Caenorhabditis elegans: one gene and its partner. The protein of the gene in region 2 interacts with the protein of the main gene of each other region in a pairwise test. Each region holds a gene or a part of one and is shown on either strand. Other genes may lie near its edges. The genes, in order: rund-1 and tbc-8.

What was found.
Region 1: the proteins of tbc-8 (region 2) and rund-1 interact in a two-hybrid assay, tested with the Caenorhabditis elegans proteins (one study listed by BioGRID).

The regions. Positions count from the first base shown.
Region 1 is NC_003284.9:652,156-663,641, forward strand, and holds rund-1 (RUN domain-containing protein), read right to left. Parts: upstream 9,623-11,486; 5' UTR 9,603-9,622; coding exon 9,497-9,602; intron 9,453-9,496; coding exon 9,386-9,452; intron 9,140-9,385; coding exon 8,995-9,139; intron 8,950-8,994; coding exon 8,722-8,949; intron 8,679-8,721; coding exon 8,442-8,678; intron 8,391-8,441; coding exon 8,260-8,390; intron 7,793-8,259; coding exon 7,669-7,792; intron 7,604-7,668; coding exon 7,292-7,603; intron 7,244-7,291; coding exon 7,119-7,243; intron 6,691-7,118; coding exon 6,623-6,690; intron 6,576-6,622; coding exon 6,469-6,575; 3' UTR 6,322-6,468; downstream 1-6,321. Other genes in the region: Intermediate filament protein ifc-2, read right to left, coding at 825-927, 2,635-2,666; lpr-7 (Lipocalin domain-containing protein), read left to right, coding at 4,110-4,270, 4,431-4,499, 4,554-4,676, 4,808-4,925, 5,525-5,573, 5,616-5,701, 5,752-5,821, 5,869-6,052 and 1 more.
Region 2 is NC_003281.10:10,363,206-10,373,776, reverse strand, and holds tbc-8 (Rab GTPase-activating protein tbc-8), read right to left. Parts: upstream 8,822-10,571; 5' UTR 8,712-8,821; coding exon 8,557-8,711; intron 7,999-8,556; coding exon 7,881-7,998; intron 7,329-7,880; coding exon 7,003-7,328; intron 6,838-7,002; coding exon 6,764-6,837; intron 5,023-6,763; coding exon 4,895-5,022; intron 4,396-4,894; coding exon 4,239-4,395; intron 4,012-4,238; coding exon 3,658-4,011; intron 3,453-3,657; coding exon 3,287-3,452; intron 3,040-3,286; coding exon 2,986-3,039; intron 2,938-2,985; coding exon 2,736-2,937; intron 2,574-2,735; coding exon 2,406-2,573; intron 2,317-2,405; coding exon 2,188-2,316; intron 2,141-2,187; coding exon 1,998-2,140; intron 1,952-1,997; coding exon 1,854-1,951; intron 1,809-1,853; coding exon 1,699-1,808; intron 1,476-1,698; coding exon 1,379-1,475; intron 1,030-1,378; coding exon 859-1,029; intron 815-858; coding exon 723-814; 3' UTR 543-722; downstream 1-542. UniProt on the Caenorhabditis elegans protein: Interacts with numerous Rab family members, functioning as Rab effector for some, and as GTPase activator for others. GTPase activator for rab-2. In association with ric-19 activates rab-2 during dense core vesicle maturation in cholinergic motoneurons.

The DNA of each region.
Region 1 (11,486 bases), on a different chromosome or scaffold from region 2:
AAACTAAAAAAATATTTTTTTTATATTGTTTCCCCACAATTTTTGAACACATTCGTTGTAATGTTTTGAGAATTATAGGAGTGAATTAAAGGAAGGTGGAGGAGGGCCTGTGGGGAAATTGTTTTAAAACATGACTATGGTTCCATAACTACCAAATATCAAAAGGAAGAAATCTCAATTTGCATCAAATTCCCTTTTGAATTGGAGTTCGACGCTTGCCTTATTTAAACTTTTAATCATTAATTTTTCACAATTTTAGACTGATTTTTCATGTTTTTTTTGTGTAATTTTACTGAAAATTTAGTGAACAATTCAGGATAAATGTAAATGTTTTATTAAAAAACGGATCTGTGCAGTTGATTATTTCAGGCTCTACGTCGTTGGAAAACTTGCCTTGTTTTTTTTTAGTTTTTCGGTGAGTAATTTAAATTTATCTTGATTTTTCTTGCTGAATTTCCGATGAAATTTCACAAAAAACATTAAAAATCAGGCAAAACATAAGAAAATTTGATGAAAATAATTTAAATACATAAGACAAGCCCGAACTATTGGCAGTAATTCGAATATGAATTTGATGCAAATCGATGTTTTTTTTAACTTCCAAACTTCTCATATAAAATTTAGAAAACTTTTCTGAACATTTTTACTATGATAGTAAGTTATATAGGCATGTTCTAAAGCAATTTATCCACTGGCGCTTCCACAACTTTAAGTTTCAGAATTTTCAAAAAAAAACCGCTTCGTAAATGCTTATCGCCTATTTTCTGCATTTTGATGTGAAGAATAGCTTTTTATTACAAATTCAAATCGGAAAAAGAACATACCTCATCATCTGTAAATGACACAATAAGTGTGCACAATGGAGCTTCTTTCAGCTTACACTCATTCCCTTTCACCACATTTGATGGTACCACGTGATTTTCTCGCCTGAAAACCATGTCAATATCAATTGAGAAATCTCCATAAATGTGTAAAAGTTTGCTTTACAAGGGAAGTCTTTGAGGGGGTCCGTAGATTTGGGGTTCTCATGTTAAAATTCCTACAGAAGAGTGTTAGTTATGATCTCTCCAAAAAATTTAGCTGCCCCGGTCAAGTTTCAGCAAAGTTATGACGTTTTGAAATTTCAGTTAAAAACACCATTGAAATCCACTGTCTTACCATGCAGTCCACGCAAATCTCAGCTTGCGTGACCACCGAAAATGTGACACCCATCACATTGAGTTGAAAAATGTCCTCGGTGGACGAGTTAACTCCCCAATTGGGAGTGCGCGCGTCTGATAAGATTTAAGCTTTGGTTCGATTCCTTCTATTTTTGAAATATTTTTGTAAGTTGAATAAAGTTGTAAAACAACTCATTCAAACATTTTTGCGCATTTTTAAAGTGATTTTATTCTTATTCGGGAACCTAGAATCATTGTCCGCACTTTTTGGAAATTTTTATTTTTTTCATTGTTGCTCAAAATTTCTTGATCAACACCAAGCAAAAAATTCAAAAAATTTCATTTTTCTAAACAATTATGAAATTGCTATGTTGTTGTTCAGAAATGTATGAAACGTACATTACACAAGTTTTAACTCTCTATTCGCAAGTAAACCGTCGAAATGATCTACATCTCACGAACTTTGTGCAAAATATGTAACCAACTTTGAAGTTGCATAACTTCGTTGAGATAAATTATTTTGAAAAATGATCAACTAACAAAATGTTTGTTGAATAACAGTGAACAAAGTTTTAGTTATAAACTTTTTGATACCTTCAGCCACCAAAAAGTTGTGACCGTTTTCCAAAACACAATGTTAATAGAAAAACTAGCCAAATGCCAACCTTGTTTTCTTCTTTGTAGCTGGAGGTATCAAAAAGTTTATAACTAAAACTTTGTTCACTGTTATTCAACAAACATTTCGTTAGTTGATCATTTTTCAAAATAATTTATCTCAACGAAGTTATGCAACTTCAAAGTTGGTTACATATTTTGCACAAAGTTCGTGAGATGTAGATCATTTCGACGGTTTACTTGCGAATAGAGAGTTAAAACTTGTGTAATGTACGTTTCATACATTTCTGAACAACAACATAGCAATTTCATAATTGTTTAGAAAAATGAAATTTTTTGAATTTTTTGCTTGGAGTTGATCAAGAAATTTTGAGCAACAATGAAAAAAATAAAAATTTCCAAAAAGTGCGGACAATGATTCTAGGCTCCCGAATAAGAATAAAATCACTTTAAAAATGCGCAAAAATGTTTGAATGAGTTGTTTTACAACTTTATTCAACTTACAAAAATATTTCAAAAATAGAAGGAATCGAACCAAAGCTTAAATCTTATCAGACGCGCGCACTCCCAATTGGGGAGTTAACTCGTCCACCGAGGACATTTTTCAACTCAATGTGATGGGTGTCACATTTTCGGTGGTCACGCAAGCTGAGATTTGCGTGGACTGCATGGTAAGACAGTGGATTTCAATGGTGTTTTTAACCGAAATTTCAAAACGTCATAACTTTGCTGAAACTTGACCGGGGCAGCTAAATTTTTTGGAGAGATCATAACTAACACTCTTCTGTAGGAATTTTAGCATGAGAACCCCAAATCTACGGACCCCCTCAAAGACTTCCCTTGTTAGGTATCTACTCACTTTTTGCCACCGGAGTCAGACGGAACCAGCATATTCAGTTCTCAACGATTGAAAACAAGGATAGTGAGGAAATTGTATAACTTACAATTGTTTGTTGATATTTAGTTGACAAATAACGTGAAAACTGTTGGGCAAGGGAGTTATTCCGCCCCAAACTTCTCAATATTCAAAAGTGTATTCCGTAAGTTGGGATTGCATGTAATTGTATTCAGCTAATCCTCTTTTGAGTGCTACATTGATTCTCACACGTTAAGTTCACAACTTTCCCGAATTGAAGAGATAATATTATATAACCGGAAGTTTGAGGTTTTTGAAACTATTGAGAAAGTGTCACAGGAAAGAGACATGCCAAAAAATTTATCAATCCAGTTCAGCGAATTTTCTAACGTTCACAAAACTGATGAGTAGGATCAAGGGGGTCGATTCATTCAAAAAAGGCTCGGTTCAGGAATGCGTGCTGGCACAAGGCAATGCTAGTCCAAGCAGGCATGCAGACATTTTCTCCTAACTTTGTGATATACAAAGACAATTAATGTCCCGTTGTTGTAAGTAGAAGACATACCAATGAAACAAAATCATATAAAAAAATAGTATAAATATTCCGAATTTTATATGATTTTTTGAAAAATGGTATTAAAATTTTGCTATTTTTTTAGAAGTCGTGGAAAAATTGTTTGTTTCCAAATTTTATGTTTTATTTAAGTTTCAAAAAGTAACATTCGAAAATTATTAGAGTTCGAGTGCTACAGTTCTCACAAGAAGTGGCCTAAACTTAGTAATTGTCACTTTTTGACTTTTGACAATCACAGTTATTGAAAAAAATTTGTATTATAATATTTGGTTATTTTGGCACCGTTGGATGTTCTTAACAGTTTCTTAACTAAAGTTACTTCGCACTTGATCAATTTTGAAAAATGTATAATTATTTTGCTCGCTTTGTTTTTACGTAACACAATAGCACACCCACAATAAATGAACACTGCTCGACTGTAAACTTACAGTTAAATTGTTCAATCCGGTGAATTTTGGTCAATCTCTACCCCTGGTCAACCCTGGTTAATGATTCAAATTTAATTCCCCGGAATTTTTTTGACGCCCTACTGGAAGCTGGGAAATGTACGGACGTACACTTTCATCATAAACATTTTTTTCAGGAAACGATAAATTCACTCGAGCTCCTTTAAACACTAAATCAAAAAACCCGTTTGAAATCAAAATTCAAATTTTTATCTGAAATTTTATTTTTTCTCATAAAATTCAATTCTGAAAATCTTTTCCTTTCCATTAAACCGAAACTAGCCGCAATATAAGCAATAATCAATTAAAATTATAAAGAAAAAATCCGGATTTTTTCTGACAGTGCCAGTGATTTCTCTTTTTCTCACTGTCATCTTTCTCCCTATCCGACATTCCTTTTTCCACGGAGGAGACGATATCCGCCGCCTGACACTATTTCGGTGGTGGTCGTCATAATAATGCGGCATAATAATGGTCTATATCACGCAACGTTCTACTTCTTTACTATTATTATTTTTTTTTCGTTCTCACCTGTAAACTGTCAGTTTTTGGAAATATTTGGTTTGTCTACTGGAGATGCGGGAACTCATGATAGGGGTCCGTTTCAGGATCTGGCTACGTAAGTTGGTTGACAAAAGTATTTATGCATCGTGACTGCTTTTTTAGTCGGTTCTACAGATTTATCACAATTTTTGCAAAAAGATTCCTCAAATCATTAAAAGCTTATATTTACAGAATTTCAGTTAGAGCAGCTATAATTTGAAAAAAAATGTTTTCAGTCAATCGGTCGGTCTCATGAAATACCTGCAAACAGTGCAGAAGAATCCAGACAACACTCTAGCCAAAAAGTAATGCTGTCTTAGTTTTTAATAGAGTGTATTTAAATTTTTTAAATATTCCAGATTGAAAAACCCATTACCTTCTATGAATTTGGTAGATGGAATGCCTGTTGTGCCAGGTCTTTTGGGAAGTTTACCAGGAGCCGGATCGTGTTTGCCACGTGGATCACCGCTTATTAAGGACAAGTAAGCTTTTTTATGACCAAAATTCGTGGGAATGAATGTATTTGAGAAGTATTTGTAGTCTGTTTCAAATCAACCTTACAAAAGTTAGAAAAAACCAAAAGAGTATGAATCATCATTCATTTTTCTTCAAGGTCACCAAGCTTCTTCCAAAATATCTTGCGCAACATACCGGGCGCTCAGGATTATCTGGCCAGTTTATTGCCCGCGCCAAAAGTCGACGTCAGGGCTTTGTATGGCAAGTTCCAGTGGGTGAGTGTGTGTGATAAGAGATCACCATAATGATCAGAAAACAAAAGTAGTGTTAAGCTCTGTCATACATTATTTGTATTATGTAATGACTTTTTGAAACTAAAGAAAAAATTTTTAACAACGGAATGACACAGAACATGAATTTTTCTTTCAATACGATTGTCAAATTTCAGCTCAAAAAAGGGAAAAAGTGACAAAGTGATTTTTTAACAACTAAAAAAATATACATCTTTTTGACGAGCAAAGTATGTATATGGTGGAGGGTTACTTCCAGACGAGTCCCATTTAAAACTTGTGATTTCACTAATCTATCACAAAAATTGAAACATCCACTGAATTTTCAAACTTTAATTTTTTCAATTTGTATTTTTTTCACAATTTTCTAGTACTGCAGAAGTGCTCCAAAAGTTACTTTCTATGAGACAAACATAATAAAAATTTCTGAGTATTTTTTTTGTTTTATTTAAAAAACGTGACAAATTGACTTCCACCTTTAACTTCGAAACATTAGTTTAAAATATATCAGTTACAATGTTTCATTAGAACAAAAAATTCGAGTTATAGAATTTCAATGCGAAACGAATACAATACCTTTCCAGGCTCTGGACACTCCATCTGTTCATAATCGGTATTGCGCTACAACTGAGTGTAAGTGTAATTTATCAACCCCCAACAAGAAATGTATTTCAGTCATGCCCCAAGCAGAATCGGGAAATTCGTCAGCTTTCAGTTTGCAGGAAAAGTTCAGAGCAGGAAGTGTAGATGCGGGGGAGAAAGTGAGTATTAATTACTAATTATTTTGAAGAATATTATTTTGAAAGTTTAGGTTGCATTTGGATACGGAATAATTCATCACGAGAGAACATATGTCTATATGCAGGATGATCCGTGTCCATGTAAACTTTTTTGCTAATTTTCACATATCACAAAAAACTAATTTCAGATCAAATTGTAGTAGTTGGCCCAATAAATAAGCAACACAACCAGTATGAATACCTAATTCTCTCAAATTGGGCTCGTTTCCCAATGATTGGTTTAGTTCGAGATTTGAGAAAGTTCTATAAAGAGTACAAGGATCAAGTGGAGACCGATTTGGAAAAAGCCGGATTCATGGATGATGTCACAGGGTAGGTTGGGCTTTTGGGCCCGCAAGATGTCCTTACATTAATGAACGGAAAACGTTTTTTAGTATCCGACAACCGTTGGGAATTCATATCGAATTTGACTTTTCATAAAAAATTATTTTTCAGAAGCAACCCTATTCATTACGCCGACTGGTCACAGTGCAAAAAAGCAACTCCATACAATTATCTTACAAATGTTCTCACTGATCTTTTTGGGTAAATTATCAATCATACTTCAACACTTTCATTTAAGTACTAACGTAATTTATTTTCCATTTTATTGTTTTTATTGAATAAAACAATTTTCAAAAAAAAAGTGGCAATTAATTTATTTTATCCCGAACCTGTTTTAAACTGTCTTGATTGTTCAGTTCCAGTCATTTTAATATGCTTATTACAAATTTTTTGATATTATAGTACTAAAATGCGTCTTTGATTTGTTCGAATGGCCTCAAAGCCAAGTCAACCGGTAAGTGAATACTATATTTGTGAAGACCTTCGAGAAGTGTGTAGAGTTCCTCACAGCCTGAAAATAACGAGTTGAAAATGGAAAAAAGAGAAGATGGTACCCACCTGTTCTTGCAACATAACTCCAAGAGTTGTAGCACATTTCGACAACTTGTCGGGTTCGAAATATGATCCTGCAAACAAATTTAATTAGTTTGGACATTTGAAATAAGGGCAATTGACGGGTATTAATATATGTAGCAGCTCAAGGATTTGATATAAAATAATTGGTTTTTTGTTTGAGATCACCCTAAATAAATGAACTCGTACGAGATTATTAGCAATAATACTAACAAGTTAATTAATGTCTTGCAAAGTTCTAATAGGTAAAACATCAAAATTCTTATGGAATTTCAAGCGGATAAAGTCCTTGTCAAGATGAATATTTATTTCAGACGTGTTTCTACATTTTCTGAGGTTTTCAGTCTAGGAGGAACGGCATGATCTAAAATTGCACTGTATTTTGGAGTGCGTCTTATTTTTTGTGTACACAAAGTGGTAAACGTATGATCTAAATATTCAAAAGTTGCGCGGTTTTTTTACGAAAAAAAGACTTCCGTACCTCAACCAAGCAGGTAATTTTTTCTCATTCAAAGCAGCTGAGACAAATGCTTTCCAATGCGCATCTTTTGATCTTTTTAATCTTGCGTGAGTCGAGATGATGTTTTCAATTGTTGTCAGCAAAACCTAAAAAATTAATTCGCTTGTTCGCGTCCTTAAAAAAACAGATTCTACCTGTTTTGAAGTTATGCTTCTTCCTCCGACGTGATCCAATTTAAAGGATTGACTCAATTTTCTTACAGGAGCATCTGTGGTGTCTCTTCCAGTTTTTAAATTATAAAAGTATAAAATCACATCCCAAATATGACTCAATGACGTTGATTTCTCGTCCGCCGAGCTTTTTGCGACAAAACAGCCTAACCCCGGTATCCGCTTGTGCACCACTGTTTCTGAGAGCATCCCATGCTCTAGAAGGGCTTTCAATGCAAGACACAGCTGCTTTCGGACAATAGTTACCACTTCCTCTTCAGATCGTTCAAAGACCTCCTGAAATGTGATATTGCGAAATGAAATATCTCCTCATGTGAGAATTTGTGAATTTTGTGCCCTACGTCATTTTCTACTTGAACTTCTTCTAATTGGCCTTTTGTTGCCGAGTCGAATGTCAGTAGGGTGTATTTTTCCAGCACTTGTTGTGTGGCGTCTACTGCTAGTTGCACATGCGCCCGTTCGTCTCTGCAAAAAGTTTGAATGAAAGATGCTCGCATAATGGAAGTGAATGTGGGAAATTGAACAATAAAATCGTGTTTTTTTTGGCAAAAATATTTTGATAAACCGAACATTAAAATTATATTTGGGAAGTTACATTTTTTGGTCAGTGGTTAGTGCAAAATTTAATTTTGTCAGTGCTAGAACCAATTGAAGATTGTTCGTTTCATAATCAAAACTTGAAAAAGTGAAAATTAAAATTTTTTATAATCAGACAAATATCCGAAACCCAAAGTTCTTGTAGTATGTCAAAAACACACATCATTAAAGTTTGGCTCAATAAATGTGTGCAAATACGTGATCTGTATCTTGTGGTTTGAGCAAACACGTATAGTGGTGTTTTTTGCTCACATGTTTGTATCAAACTTTTAATAAATATTTTTATCGATTTAAAAAGCGTAAATATTTTTCGATCACAAACTTGAGAAACTAACCCATAATGATTTCCTTTCAAAGTATTTTTCAGCTGATTTTTCTGAAACCTTCCTGTTGAGCACCCGATGATTCCACTTAAAAATGATCCGTTTTTAGATTTGGCACCAGACAGCGGCGTTGATCCCATGCTCTGAAAGAAAAAATTGACTAGAAAATTAGTGAAAAACAACAATGATCATACCCGAACCGGTGTAGTTTGATTCGAATTTTCAGCATTCTCTTTCTGAAGAAAGTTGACAAAACGTTCCAAATCTGTGATCTGAGTCTGAAGTTGGTCTACTAGTTGTCCCTTTTCTTTGAACGGATTGACAAGTTGCTTCAGAGCATCATCTACTTGCCGTTGTATTTCTGTTTGGTTCATTTTATCTATGTCTAGATTTAACTCGATTTTTTCGCGGAGTTTATCCAGAACGGCTTTCTACAAATTAAAATTCAGCATAAACTCTTACTTTTATACAAACCTGTTTCTTCAAAATGTCAGTACTTGGAAGCTCGCCTTCTCCATTTTCATAGGCAGTCCTTTCCAAGTCTTCTACTTGCTCGCGGAGCTGTTTTAGCAATTCTTTTTGTCGTTCATTTTGCTTGTCTAGTACATCATTTCCACTTTCACTTTCACTTCGTAGCCTTTGCAGCTCGTTCATGTCTGTGCAACCCTTGAAAGCAAATTTTTGAAGATCAGAGAGCAACTTCTGGAAAAGACATATGAGATGAGGCAACTGAGCCTAATAGCTTACTAATCTATCGCTTGGGTCCGCTTCATTCATTTGCTTTATCCGGAACTGCACCTGCGCAAAATGGGAGCTCAGGGAAAATAACGAGTTATTGAGTCGTTCCTGCTCTTCTTCCAATTGTTGTACCCGTAATGCATCGTTTAAGCTTCTAAAAATTGAGTTCTGAGTTTATCAGTTAAAGGTAGTGCAGTCAAATTTTTTTTTATTGCTTTACCGAATTTCATAATAAAAATTTTTGAAAACTTCTCGAAAAAAGTTATGGAAAAAGTCAAAAAATGATTTTGATGAAATAAAGCATTAAAAATAATTGGACTACATCAATTTAATGAGATATTCAGGATTAAAATTTTTGAACCTACTGTTGCATTGACCACAATTTACACAAAAAGCTTACCCAATATCATCACTATGACTAGAAGACAACCGAGCACTTTTCCATTCAGTTTCAGACATTGTGTCATCTGAAAACAATTATTTCAGAAAACAAAAATCACTTTTAACTCACAAAAATCCAATCCATCCACAATTTCTTTTGAATCTTCGGACGCTCGCTTTTTTAAGGATTGACCCAACTCTACTAGCAAGTCGCTGGCTTCCAACTCGTTCATCATTTTGGCAAAATTTCTGGCACCTGAAACAATACGTTGAAAAAAAATTAATAAAAAAAATAATTATATATTATTACGAATGAATAACACGTACATTTTCAAAATTTTGTTTGAAGTGATGATTATTTTGAGATTGTTAATTGAAAGCTGAACAAATTCCATTTATTGAAACAAAATGAAAATGAAAAATGGGAGTGGACAAATAAATTACATCACGAAACATTAAAAACAATATATACTTTACTTTTTTTTCATTTTCCAATTTCCGTTTTTCTGCTAAAAGGGTTTTCAGAGAAGAGAAAAACTGAAAAAGAAAAAGATGACGTATGCTTTTAAAAAGGATTGCCGGACAAAAAAGGGGAAAAAGAAGGAGAAAAATAACGGAGCACGCAAGAGAGCAGAGAAATGAGGCAACAAACTGCGTCTCGTGTTCTTCATGCACTCTCACGTCGTCGCTCTTGGTTATCGACCGCCATGGGTAACGTGGAGAAAGACGGAAGAAGCATGGAGAAGGGACGCTTTTAGTCTTGGAAATGACGAACGAAATCCTTGTGGGCGGACATAATTATGAGAGCTTTTTCGACATGGAGGGGTTTAATTTTCATATGGCTTTGAAAATGCTCCAGGGTTGCGCGACGACGATTTCTACAAAAACCGAAATAGCGAACTGGCGGATTTAGTTTCATGTTTTTGAAAAACTGCCGAATTTGTCATTTGTCAAATAATATATTTAATAATATCATCAAAACTAATAAAAATTATTTAATTATTTAAAAAAGCATTCACAACTAAGTTTTTGAAATTGTTTTCCGTTTTTGATGTTTTTTGTAGGAAAATGTGGCAAAAGTTGTATGGTATGTTAAATTGGGTAAGAGAGATTAAAGTAAAAATGAAAGAGGTTTTTTCTGTATCTCAAACGCTTTTTTTTTGGCTAAGAAATTCTGATTATCTCGCTCTGAATCATTGAAAACAATTGAACACATGTTGGCCAAAGTTTGCCATAATTGGTTGAGAGGTGGCTAAAGTTGGTTGAAGTTGGCTAAAGAAGACTACAAACGGCGAAAGGTGGCGAAGGTTGGTTGCAAAGCGACTGGTTGCTTAAAAGTGGTAGAAAAGTGGGCAAAGTTGGTTCAGAAGTGGTTAAACATGGTTTGAAAGTGGTGGGAAGCTAAAGTTGGTTGAGAAGTGAGGAACGTTGGTTTAAGAGTGGCGCGAATTTATTCACTTTTCGTGTTGGCTCTGAGAGAATTTAATGAATGCATTCATTTTTAAATTTTCGAAAATTAAATTTCAAAATTGAAAAACCAAAAAATGTTCAGCAATTGCCGTTTCTCCGTAAATTTCGCAAATCGACAGTTTACTGAAATTTCTGAAAATTTTAAAATTCAGCAATTGCTAAGACTTGCCACAAACATAAAGTTTCTAATTTCCTAAAAGTTCTCAAGCCTATGCATTTGTTGTTTTACTTTTAAACTCGAAGTATCTGAGACCTGCTAATATTTTAATGAGAAAAACCTGTCGAAACTTTCCAAATTTGATTTAACGCTATATAATGAAGCTGATAGTGAGATCAAAAACAAAGTTTTATGTTTCAAGAAAATTTGAAAACATTTTATTTAGTTATTTAGCAACTTAACATACACATTACTTAAAAAAGTAAATCTTTTGCTCACTTCTCAATGAATTTATATTAAAACAAATAAATTTTTTTTGTCTAACTTTGAGTTTGTCCGCATTTTCGGAAATTGCCAAACTTTAAAATGTTTGACAAATTGGTGAGTAGGGAGTTTGACAATTTTTTAATAGTCTTGGCAAATAACAAATGTCAGAAAAAAATAAATAAAATATTTTTAAATATAAGTTGTTTTATTTTTTAATATTTTTAAA
Region 2 (10,571 bases):
ATTTCAAAATGGGGTCACTATTATGTGTAGTATGACACCCGAGTGGAAGGTAAAGGAGAGACCAAAGATAAACGGATTGGAATTGAATTAAAAAAAGTTGGAACATTATTTGGTTGAAAAATACTCGTGGCCTAGGAATCTGGTGGCCTGAATTTTTTTGATTCTGGCCTAGAGCTAGAAATCTGGTAGTCTGGTGGAATTGGAAATTTAATCTATAATAGAAAAAATTGGTTGGGAACTGAAGTTGGTGGCCTAGAAATCTTATAGTTGCTTTTTCAAAAAGGCGTATGATGATTTAATAATGCAAACTTTCTTTCATGGCATTTCAAAAAAATATATTATATATATGTATATAAATTTTTGATATGTCAAAGAACATCCAAAACCTTCAATTGCTAATAAATAAAACATCCAATAAAACATATATCTGTTGCTAAGTACCTCTGGCGGGGTCAACAGACCCCCCCCCCCTTCCGTCGTTAGATGTGGCCAAAAGGATCCTCCGCCGGCGAGCAGAAGTGTAAAAGAACAATGAAACAAGAACAATAGCGTACATAAATTTCATTAAAAGTATACATTTTCTGCAATAAATACAAACTACTAGCTGTCAACTACAGACGAAAAAAAATTGATTATGAAAAGTGTAAAATAATAAGTTTTCATGAATACACATTCGGATAGTGACCCGTATGACACAGAAAATCGATGTTCTCCCACACATTCTACTTGAGGTGTTGCACAAGGTTCTGCAAACATTTGACGTGGGTGCGAGCCGATGAGAGAAGACGTGAGCAATCGTGACGTTCGGCCATTTCTGTAATGTAAACATTAGTCAATTCATGAGGGTTTATTGCATACCATTGAAAAATTTAATCATATCAGTATAGTCAAAGTTGTTTGTGATAAGGACATCGTGATAGTTGGTGATTGTTGCCAAGCCAAAGAAAATCGCAAAATCATCTGTGATCCGGAGTCGCTGAGCAGCCCAGATGACCTCCCATACTTTGTAGGTACATTCGTAGGATAGTTCTGGAATTTGGTACTAACATATAAGTTTACTGAATGTTAAAATTGTAAGTTCACTGTAGAGTGATGTTCTAGAGGTATATAGTATAAAATCTGGTCAAGTTGTAGGTTGTGCCAAAAGTCGATTTTCCATCTAAGGGTACTGTAGTTTTACCCTATGTTACATGTACGGTTAGAAGTTAAATACCGTATGTCCTCTACAAAATTATAAACTTTTTTCCTCATGTTTTCTTATGTATACTCAAACTTCAAACATCAACTACATCATCAAGGAGTACTGTAGTTTCAGCCTAGGGCCGCATGCCATACAAAATGCATTTTTTGGCTACTGTAGGATTACTGTAATGCTCACCTCGTTTGAAGTCCAGCAAAAACCATCTAAAAGCGAACGATAGTGCTTGAGCATAGTCGATGTCAGAGATAAGGGCGTAGATTTGTGGATCGACAACCTGAAATCATGTAAGGTTACTGTAGGATTACGCTATTTTTAATCAAATGGATCTATTTAGGACTATTCAGGATTACTATAAAGTAACTGTTTTTGATTTCGTTCAAGCTTATAGTGAATCCGTTTGTCTCTACGAACTTGGCACGAAAAAGTAAGCAGGGTTACTGTATGGTTACAGTACTCAAGGTTACTTTGCAGATTCTAAATATGGTTGCCTCTCTCACCTGTATCAATGATCTCAAGTTCAACAGACACTTTGACATCCCTGGACGTTGCGGAAACTTTCCTCGTTGCCGAAGCATCAAAAGTGAGAAGCACTCAAGTGTTAAAGCCTCTGAAATATGCACATTTTTTCAGGCACCCTAAAAATGTTCTTTACCATCTTCAAAAGTAACCAACAGTGGAGCCAACAAGTCGCACATTCCTTGAGTATATCCTTCTTCGAGGTTTCGGCGCACATATGTGTACATTACTCGTCTGAAACATTTTCAGGTTAATATTTTGATCTACTTTCATCCGTTACCTCAAGCTCTCTAAATTGTCTTTATTCGAGAAGAACATCAAATTTCTATCGCATCTCTCCACGTCCTTGTCAATTCTGTGCAGATTTGCGCGGAATAAGGTGATCAAGTTCTCGCGGTCGTAGTGCTGAGAGCATGTTGGCTCCTGGAAGAGGAATTGGGTTTCTAGGCCACAATTTTTATGCCACTTACATTCGGATCCTCGAAAACATCGCACGACTCCTCTCGAACTGGTGAAGCTGCTTTTCGAGCTCTCGCCGCTCGGAAGGCTTCCTCGTCTCTACGCCGAACTTCTGCCTCAAGAACTCGCCATTCTTCTATCTGAAAACATATCAGTTGACCAGCTATATTTTTTTTAGAAATATTTCAGTTGACAATTATTTTGTACCTACAATGAAAAAAAAACTCACATCTTGCCAATACTGACTCGTAAACTGTTCCAGCCTAGACTCTGGACTCTCATTCCATTCAAACAATCCTAGAAGGTACGGCCACGCCATTCTTCGGACTTCTTTTGTATTAATTCCTTCTATTCCTCTCCAGTAGACCCGTTTTAAAAATTCCTTCTCGTTTTCTTCCTGAAACAAAAAAATGGTTATTCCTTGAAGAAGCTGGCTAATTTTGAAGAACTCGAAGAGAGCGACCGACACATTCACGGGCAGCAGCTCCGCCCGTGAGATGTCGGCCGCTAGAACCAAGCTTGATTTTCTTTAAATTTCAGCATATCCTGAAACACTTACAGTAGGCTCTGCTCTAGCTTGCTTCCAGAACTTTTCATCGACCGGATCACAATCATCATCACAAATCAATGTTTTTGTATCCACCAAATGTAATAAATGCGTTCGAATAGTCCTCAGATGCCTAACATAGGTGAGCCACCCGTAAAAGGCACGAGCCATTATTTGATTTCTCATCGATTGGCAAGCCGTGCCGATTTGGAAACTGAAAATTTGGATAAATTTAGAATTTAAATAAAATAATGATTCTTACTTTACAATACTATCCACATTATCGACAATATACGGTGAGTTTGGCAGAGAGACGCTGAAAATAAATAGAGTTGAGTTATTTGACAAAGAAATGGGATTACGGAAATAAAATAGAAAATTGGTTTAAAATTTTCGAAATTTAAAAATTATTTAAATATTTATTCCGATTTTGTTTACGTTGTTTTCATTAAAAATGAAATAAAAATGACTTAATTTTTAATTTGTTTTTCAAAAAATCTTTACTAGTTTTGTTTCAAAATTTGTGAAATTTGTTTAACTTTTTTTAAAATTTCTTAACTCACCAATTATCATGAATCGGAGGAGAATGTGATGTTGGTGCAAGTGGATCTTCAATATCCTCTGGAGCCGGTTCAACACCAGAAGTTCTTACCAAACGAAAAACGTAGTCAAGCATAGCAGGATTCGCCACTGCCGTAGACCGCTTTCGTAGACGAGGCAAAATTTTCTCTGAAATATATAATAATAATAATATCAGCTGCTCGGGGAGTTCGGTTGCTAGGCACAAAAAGGGATAATTCATGTATGCCTAACATTATAATTTAGAATTTAGTAGGCTTTTTGATAACTGAGCACTAAAAGTTTCGAATTTATTATCATTTTTTGGAGAACTTTTAAAAAATAAAATTAAAGTTCACACTTAATGTATTCCTACCTTTAGTCGTGCCAACCCAAAGTGGAGGATCAAGCCTCAGAAGTGGAGCTAAACCCGTCTCAAGTGAAGAAAGAAATGCAATTGAATGTTGACCAGCAGGTAATTGGAATGGAGCTGATTGAACTCCTTCGCAATTGACAAATGTCAAGCATGTCGGAGAGATCTCATCTTTTTGATGCAAATGAATGTAGATAATGTCTTGCATTTCAATATTTATAGTATTCTTCCAAATATTTGTAAATTCTCCATTATTTGAGTGTCCTGAAGAGGGCTGAGAACTCGCGTGCATAAGTTGATTGGGTACCCATTTTAGAGAAAGGTTTCCGTCGTAGAACTTTTGAAGCGACATGTAACCTGAAAAACTAATGTTGAATAAAAATATTTAATTTTGGACAAATTTGTTTTTTTAAAGTTAAATTTTTATCGGGAAATTCGAAAAGAGCCAAATTTAAAATTCTCCAAAAGTGCATTTTAATGCAATAATTTTTTTTAGCGCGAAATTCAAATTTTCCATTAAACAAATTTAGGAGTCAATTTGAAAAAAGTCAGAAAAGTTCTAAAATTATTTTGGAGCTGCTCACCCTTTGCAAAATCGCTTCCATTCATTGCGACACAAACATTGTTCTTTCCATAAAGAAGGGTCGATTTGCAGCTGTGATGAAGTGAAAATACATAATCACGGCTCACGGAGCCATTCCTTTCAACTGAAGCTGCTATACTAGACACTTGACGGGTTATCTAAAAAATGAATTTTTTTGATTTTCTGAAGACGCAGTTTTTTAAAATTTAGTTCGCTTCCTGATTCTGATGACAATTTTTACTTTTTTTAAATTTCTAATTATTACATATAAATACTATCAAAGTAAAATCTCGCTCCAACGGCAACTGAAAACGCTCCGCCCCTATAATTGGGGTCTCGTTAGGTATTGGCGGCAAAGTCATGAATGAGAATTTTTTTTATTTATTGATTTTTTTCAAAAAAAAAAACTTTTTTTAAAATTATTTTTTGCCGTGGTTTTAAAATTATTGATGGAAAAATCAATAAAATAAAATAAAATGTCTTACAGAATTTTAGACATAAAAATCTTAAACAACAGTGAACAAATAACAACAAATTAAAAAAAATTTCTCGGAAAAAACGCACCATCGAATTTACGGCTTTGCCAGTACCTAACGAGACTTTAATTTCTAATCATTTAGAACATTGCAAGTATTAATTTTTGGCTCCGAAACTAACGGATAGTGGTGGCCTAGACGGAACTGTGGATGTGGATCCACGTGTTGCTCCTTCTACGAGCTCTTCAGCAGTGGCTTCTTGCTCAATTCGGTTGCTCATTCTTCGATATGTTACCATGCACGGAGCCACTGCAACAACAAAACATTTGAAAGTTTTCAGTTTTTGAAAAAAAAAAGTTTATTTCAAAATGGGATTAGAAAGAGGCTTCTTTTGCACAAAATATGATGATGCTCCAAAATGAGCGACATATTCATTAGTTGCTCTGTGAGCATGAAAAAGCTTCATCTCTTCTTTGGAAAGAGAGCTCAATGCTCCATTAGTAGTGAAAAAGGCGCTCAGTTTGAGAGAAACTCGATTAGTCTGTAAACAGAAGCACTCACACAGAAGAAGCTCGCAGATGAGACATTTTCCCGCAGCAACAAAAAATAAATGTAGTTTTCAATTGGCAGGGAGGGATCGGATGAGCAATTTTTAGTGGTGGAATTATGGAAAAAGTCAAAGAAAGTTGAGAGAAGAATGACGATAGTTTGAAATTTTTTCAATTTTCCAATATACATTTTTTATTGGCTTAGAAATTATTATTTCCTACGGCAAGTTAATTTTTATAACATGTGCAATTATAATATACAAGTACCATTTTTCGTATTGAAAATTTGGCGGGAAATACAATATTTTCTGAGAAATTTTTTTTAGCGCGAAACTGAACTTTTCTCCGTTTTTTTCTATCAACTTGCAGTTTCAAATTTAGCATAACTTTTTGTCAAAAAAAATACAAGGTAAAGCTAAAAGAATCTAGAGGAAAGTGGCGCATTTGATTCATCAATTATTCCAAAAAAAGCCTCCAAGCTTTTCCTCTTCAAATGTTTGAAAAAGAACAAAAAAAACGAAAACGGCAGGCGGAAAACGTAATTTCCTATTTATGGGCTCCCCTTGTTTTAGGCGACCGAGTTTCTCTCCCGAAAATATGTAAATTTTGAGCAGAGGCTTTTTGAATTATAAATTAAAGAACACATTTCTAAAAAATTAAAATAAAAATAAAAAAACGAATGCTTTTTTTTCGATTTTTAAGTATGTTGTTGCTTCTCCGGCTGTGTCCGGCTGCTTTGGCTCCAGCAGCTTACGGCTCAGATAGAGAGGGAAAAAGCATGTGAGAGAGCTCTCAAGCGTGGAGCTCTCACACAACGCCTTCTTTATTTTTGTCCTCTTTTTTTCAGTTTCCACGTCTCCGTCTCTCTTTTTGTGCCTGAGGAGCTGGAGCACGGGAAAAGGAGAGCAATGTGTGTGTGTGTGGTAGCACCGGAAGAAGATGGGCATTTTTAATCAATAATTAGGGGCTGGAAGTGCAACGGGAGAAACAAAAACTCTTGAGGAGGCACTTTTAATTTTAATTTCCGGTTAACTTTCTGGGGAGTTTACAAAAATCGATAATTTCAAAATTTTAAAATTATTTTTTCAATCCAAAAAAAGGCAGAGCATTGCAAGCCACATCTAAAAAGCGTGAGAAATTTTTTCTAAAAATTTAAATGTTCGTTTTCCACAAAAAAGATGGTGAAGCACCAGAAAAATAAATTGTTTCGGAAAAAAAGTTAACTGAAATTGTTCTTTATCGGTCTCTAAATTCTTATTTATAGTATTTCCATGATCTCTAGAAATCAAAACTTTGAGCACAGAATTTTTTTAATCGGTGGCCGAGTTTTCTTCTCACGCGGCCACGGAGCCAAATCAAAAACATATTTAGAACTCGTCTAATTTTTTAATTCAGATATTTTGAAAACAACAACATCTAAAAATTCCACGAATTTCAAAGATAAAATAGTTCCAGTTTTTCTGGTTAACCCTGAATATATGCAAAAAATATTCAAAACTTACTCATAAGCGTAGCAACTAGGCGACCTTTAACAGGATCCAGTAGTAGGGCACTATTGTCATAGTATCGACGGACACTGTAATTGAATAGTTTTATCAAATATTTTTGGAATATTTTTCAAAAAATTCAATCTTTGAGGGTTTTTTTTCCAGAGAAAATTTCAAAACAGAGTTTCATTTTTTAAAACAACTCTCAATTTTTCAAAAGACACACCAATTTTAGTTTTTTTTTTTCTGCTAACCTTTTTGAATCAATAAAATGATTGATAATAGTAGACAAAGACTTCAAATACAGAGCCTCACGAATCCATATCAAATGCACTGGAATTGCACTTGTCCGTAGCTCCTCAATCTCTCTTGTCTGATCTAAAACCTGTTGAGCTGGACCATTTGATTTTGCAATTATTTGAAGAAGTGACATTGATGATGGACTATTGAATAATGTGAGTAGCCGACGCCGGAGACCATCCATTATACAAGCATCAACTGCGATGCAGAGTGAGGTAACGTATGGGGAGTTGAGGTTCAAGTACTTTTTTGCTCCGTGCTCGGCCATTATATTTTTGATCTAAAAAAATTTCAAAATTATCTTTACAATTTTGTGATATTTGGCACCTTTTGTTATTATTAGAAGCCGAATAAAGTTTTAAAATTCCTATAAATTTTCGCGAATTTTCATTTTTCAATTTCAAGATGCCTCGAACCTTCTCCAAAGTTTCTTAAATTTTATTAAACTTTTTCGAGCTATCTAGAAATTTTTCAAAGTTTTCAGAAACTTCTTGAATTTCCCTTTGAAAACATTCTCGAGTTGTTTTGAAATTTCTCAGCGTTTTCTTAAGTCTCCAGAAATTTCTCCAATTTCATAGAAATTTCTCAAAGTTTCAAAGTGTTTTTCAGAAATTCCTTGGTTTTTCTAAAAGTAATTTCTAAGGTTTTCTAGGAATATTTGAAATCCCACCAATTGTTTTCTCAGAAATTTGATTTTCCTGACAATTTTCAAATTATCAGAAATTTGGCTCTGTTGGAAATTTTTTTTAAATTTCAAAAATTGCCAAAACTGCAAATTGTTGCGCACCCCTGTTTACAAGTGCTTCTACAGATAACTTTCCCCTCAAAATACCTCAATTTTCAGTTTTGTGAGTAAAACTTCTCTGTGTTGCGTGGGCACATCTGGTTCTGACTCTTCAACAGCACAAACACTTCCGTTTCTTGTCATTCGCTCGCACCCCTCGTCATGTCTGAAATTATTTTTTTGAAACTGCATAAAATAATAACAAAACTTGTTTTTTACTTGTATTAAAATGTTTTTTCAAATTAATTTCAAAAAAAAAATATATAGGTCATGCTGAATTCTCTCGTGGCCTAGAAAATCCCTAGGTGGCATAGAAACGTGGAAGGGTTTTTTTTTAATTTCTAGGCCATGAGGGAATACGAGATGGGGTACCTTTTGATAGTCGCTTAAACTTGGTGGAAGAGTTTTCGATATTTCTAGGCCACATACTTGGTTAAGGGGATTCTGGTGCAATTTGAAAAGCTAACTGCGTATTTTTATATTGCTTAAAGCTCAATAATATTCTAGAAAAAGTGTTGGAAGAGGTTTTACTAGGCTACGAAACTATTTTACTATTTTTTTCTGTTTTTTTGGAAGTTTTCAGAAATTTCTCTGGGACAATCGCAAAACTTATTAATTCTATCAAAATGTATATATTACCCAACATTGAAAAATTAGTGGAAGAGTTTCTAAAATTTCTAGGCCACAGGGGTCTGACCACCCCTTACACCTAAAAAGTACTCACTTTTCAACCCAGTGATCCGACTTATAATTGTTATTATCCGATAATCCATTAATCCAATCAACAATAGAAGATCGCCGTCCATCAGTTGATCTTCTCTCCAGTGTTGGCTTCTTCGCCCTCCACATATCTGCCGATGAATGCCGAAACATTTGCATTTTGTGTGTGTGTGTGTGTCTTGACTTCCTAACAGATTACAAGGGCTAGAAGTGGGCGGAGCTTTTTCGGAGCACACAATAATTGCTCCGTGTTCTTTTTTTTGGACTCTGCAAAAAAAAATAAGGGAAAAATAAGAACCAACATGGCAATTTCTGAGCGGAACGGGAAAATAACAGGAAAGAGAAAGAAAAAGAAGAGGAGAAGGAAGGGATGAGTCAAGGAAAATGGAAAAGGTTTTTTTGATTAAGATGAGCAATGAGAATATATGAAAAATAGCATATGATGGCCTAGAAAATATTTTTGGTGGCCTAGAAAACTAAACTCTAAGATATGCTTATAACTTTCCCTGTGTCAAACCTTATAGGCCTTGAAAAATCAGTGTGGAAGATTTTTCCGAGATTTCGAGGCCACCGATGGAAATGGGCGACCGGGGTACCGTATTTTGAATTTTGAAGTTTCAAACAAGTTAACAGATTTTTAACAGATTTTTGAGAAAATAAAGAACAATTTGGGATCGATTTCAAATTTCTAATCCTCGAAATTTTCGAAAAAAAAAGTGAAATTTAATGCTCTCAATGTTTGTCTTTTTAATTCATAACCAATTTAATTTTTTCCCAAAATGTTCGAAAAAATGAGCTCAAAACTGAGAGCCCAATTTAAATTTTGGCACGAAACATGTCATTTTCGAGAAAACTAGGGAGAATTTTAGACGAAATAGGGGGGAACAAAAAATTGAAATCCACATGAATATTCAACAGTTTGAGACGAGAAGGAGGATGAAGCATCACAAATCGACGGAAATTTTGAGACTTTTTTGAAAAAATAATTGTGTGAAACTGAGCTGAAAAACTTTTTGAAACTTTTTTGAAAAAGGAATAAAGTTCACCTGTTCTAATTGGAAGTCAGACGGAAAAAATGTTCAAATTTTTTAAATATTTTTGAAATAATTGGAGCATATTTTAAGGTATAATTTGCCAGTTTGGGAAAGTAATTGTTCAGGAAAAAAATATGTTTTTTTTTTCAATTTGTGCTTATTATTTCCAATTTTAAATTGCAAAAAGTTCAAATTTTGATCAGAATTGGGATCTATGTATTCAAACTATTTTTAACTATTCAAACACCTTTCAATACATTTTTTAAAAGTTTTTATAAAAAATTAGTTTTTCCAACAACAAAAAAAATCTCAGAGCAAGAAAATCAAATTCAAAAAAGGAACATTTTCAAAAACTGGAAACAGACTAAAAACTAGGAGAAAAAACAATTTTCCCTGCTTCCAGTGCACTTGAACTTGTCACACAAAACACAGAAATGTGCATTTCAAATTTTCTTTGAAATATGAAAAAAAAACACACAAAGACAGAAAAAGGAGAAGCCTGGTGCTCTTGGAGTTGGCCAGACAAACTCATAAATCAGAAAAGGGGGAAAATGTGAAACAGTTTGATTTATTTTTTGTTTTTTTTTTGTTGGAAATAACTCGGTGATGTCTGAAATTTGACTGAAATTGCGGAGAAGAATATAGTTTTAAAAATTGAAAAAGAGATTTTTAATTCCAGACAAATATACTTTAATGTTGAAAAAGAAACATAATTTCTGACAATTTTTTTTTAGAACGTTTCAGAAAGTTTGAATGAAAAAAAATTTAATAGTACTTTTTTTTTAATTTTTGCGAATTTTTTTCATTAACAAAAATATTTTTAAAAAATGTTTTAACGTATCTATTTTAATAAATTTAATTGTAAATAGCTTTAAAAAATAATTTCAGAAACTTAAAACTTCTCCAAAATTCCCACAAAAATGCCACAAAAATGCCACTCACTGAACCATAAATTATTAAGAATTTCGATTTTTGAACTTTTCTT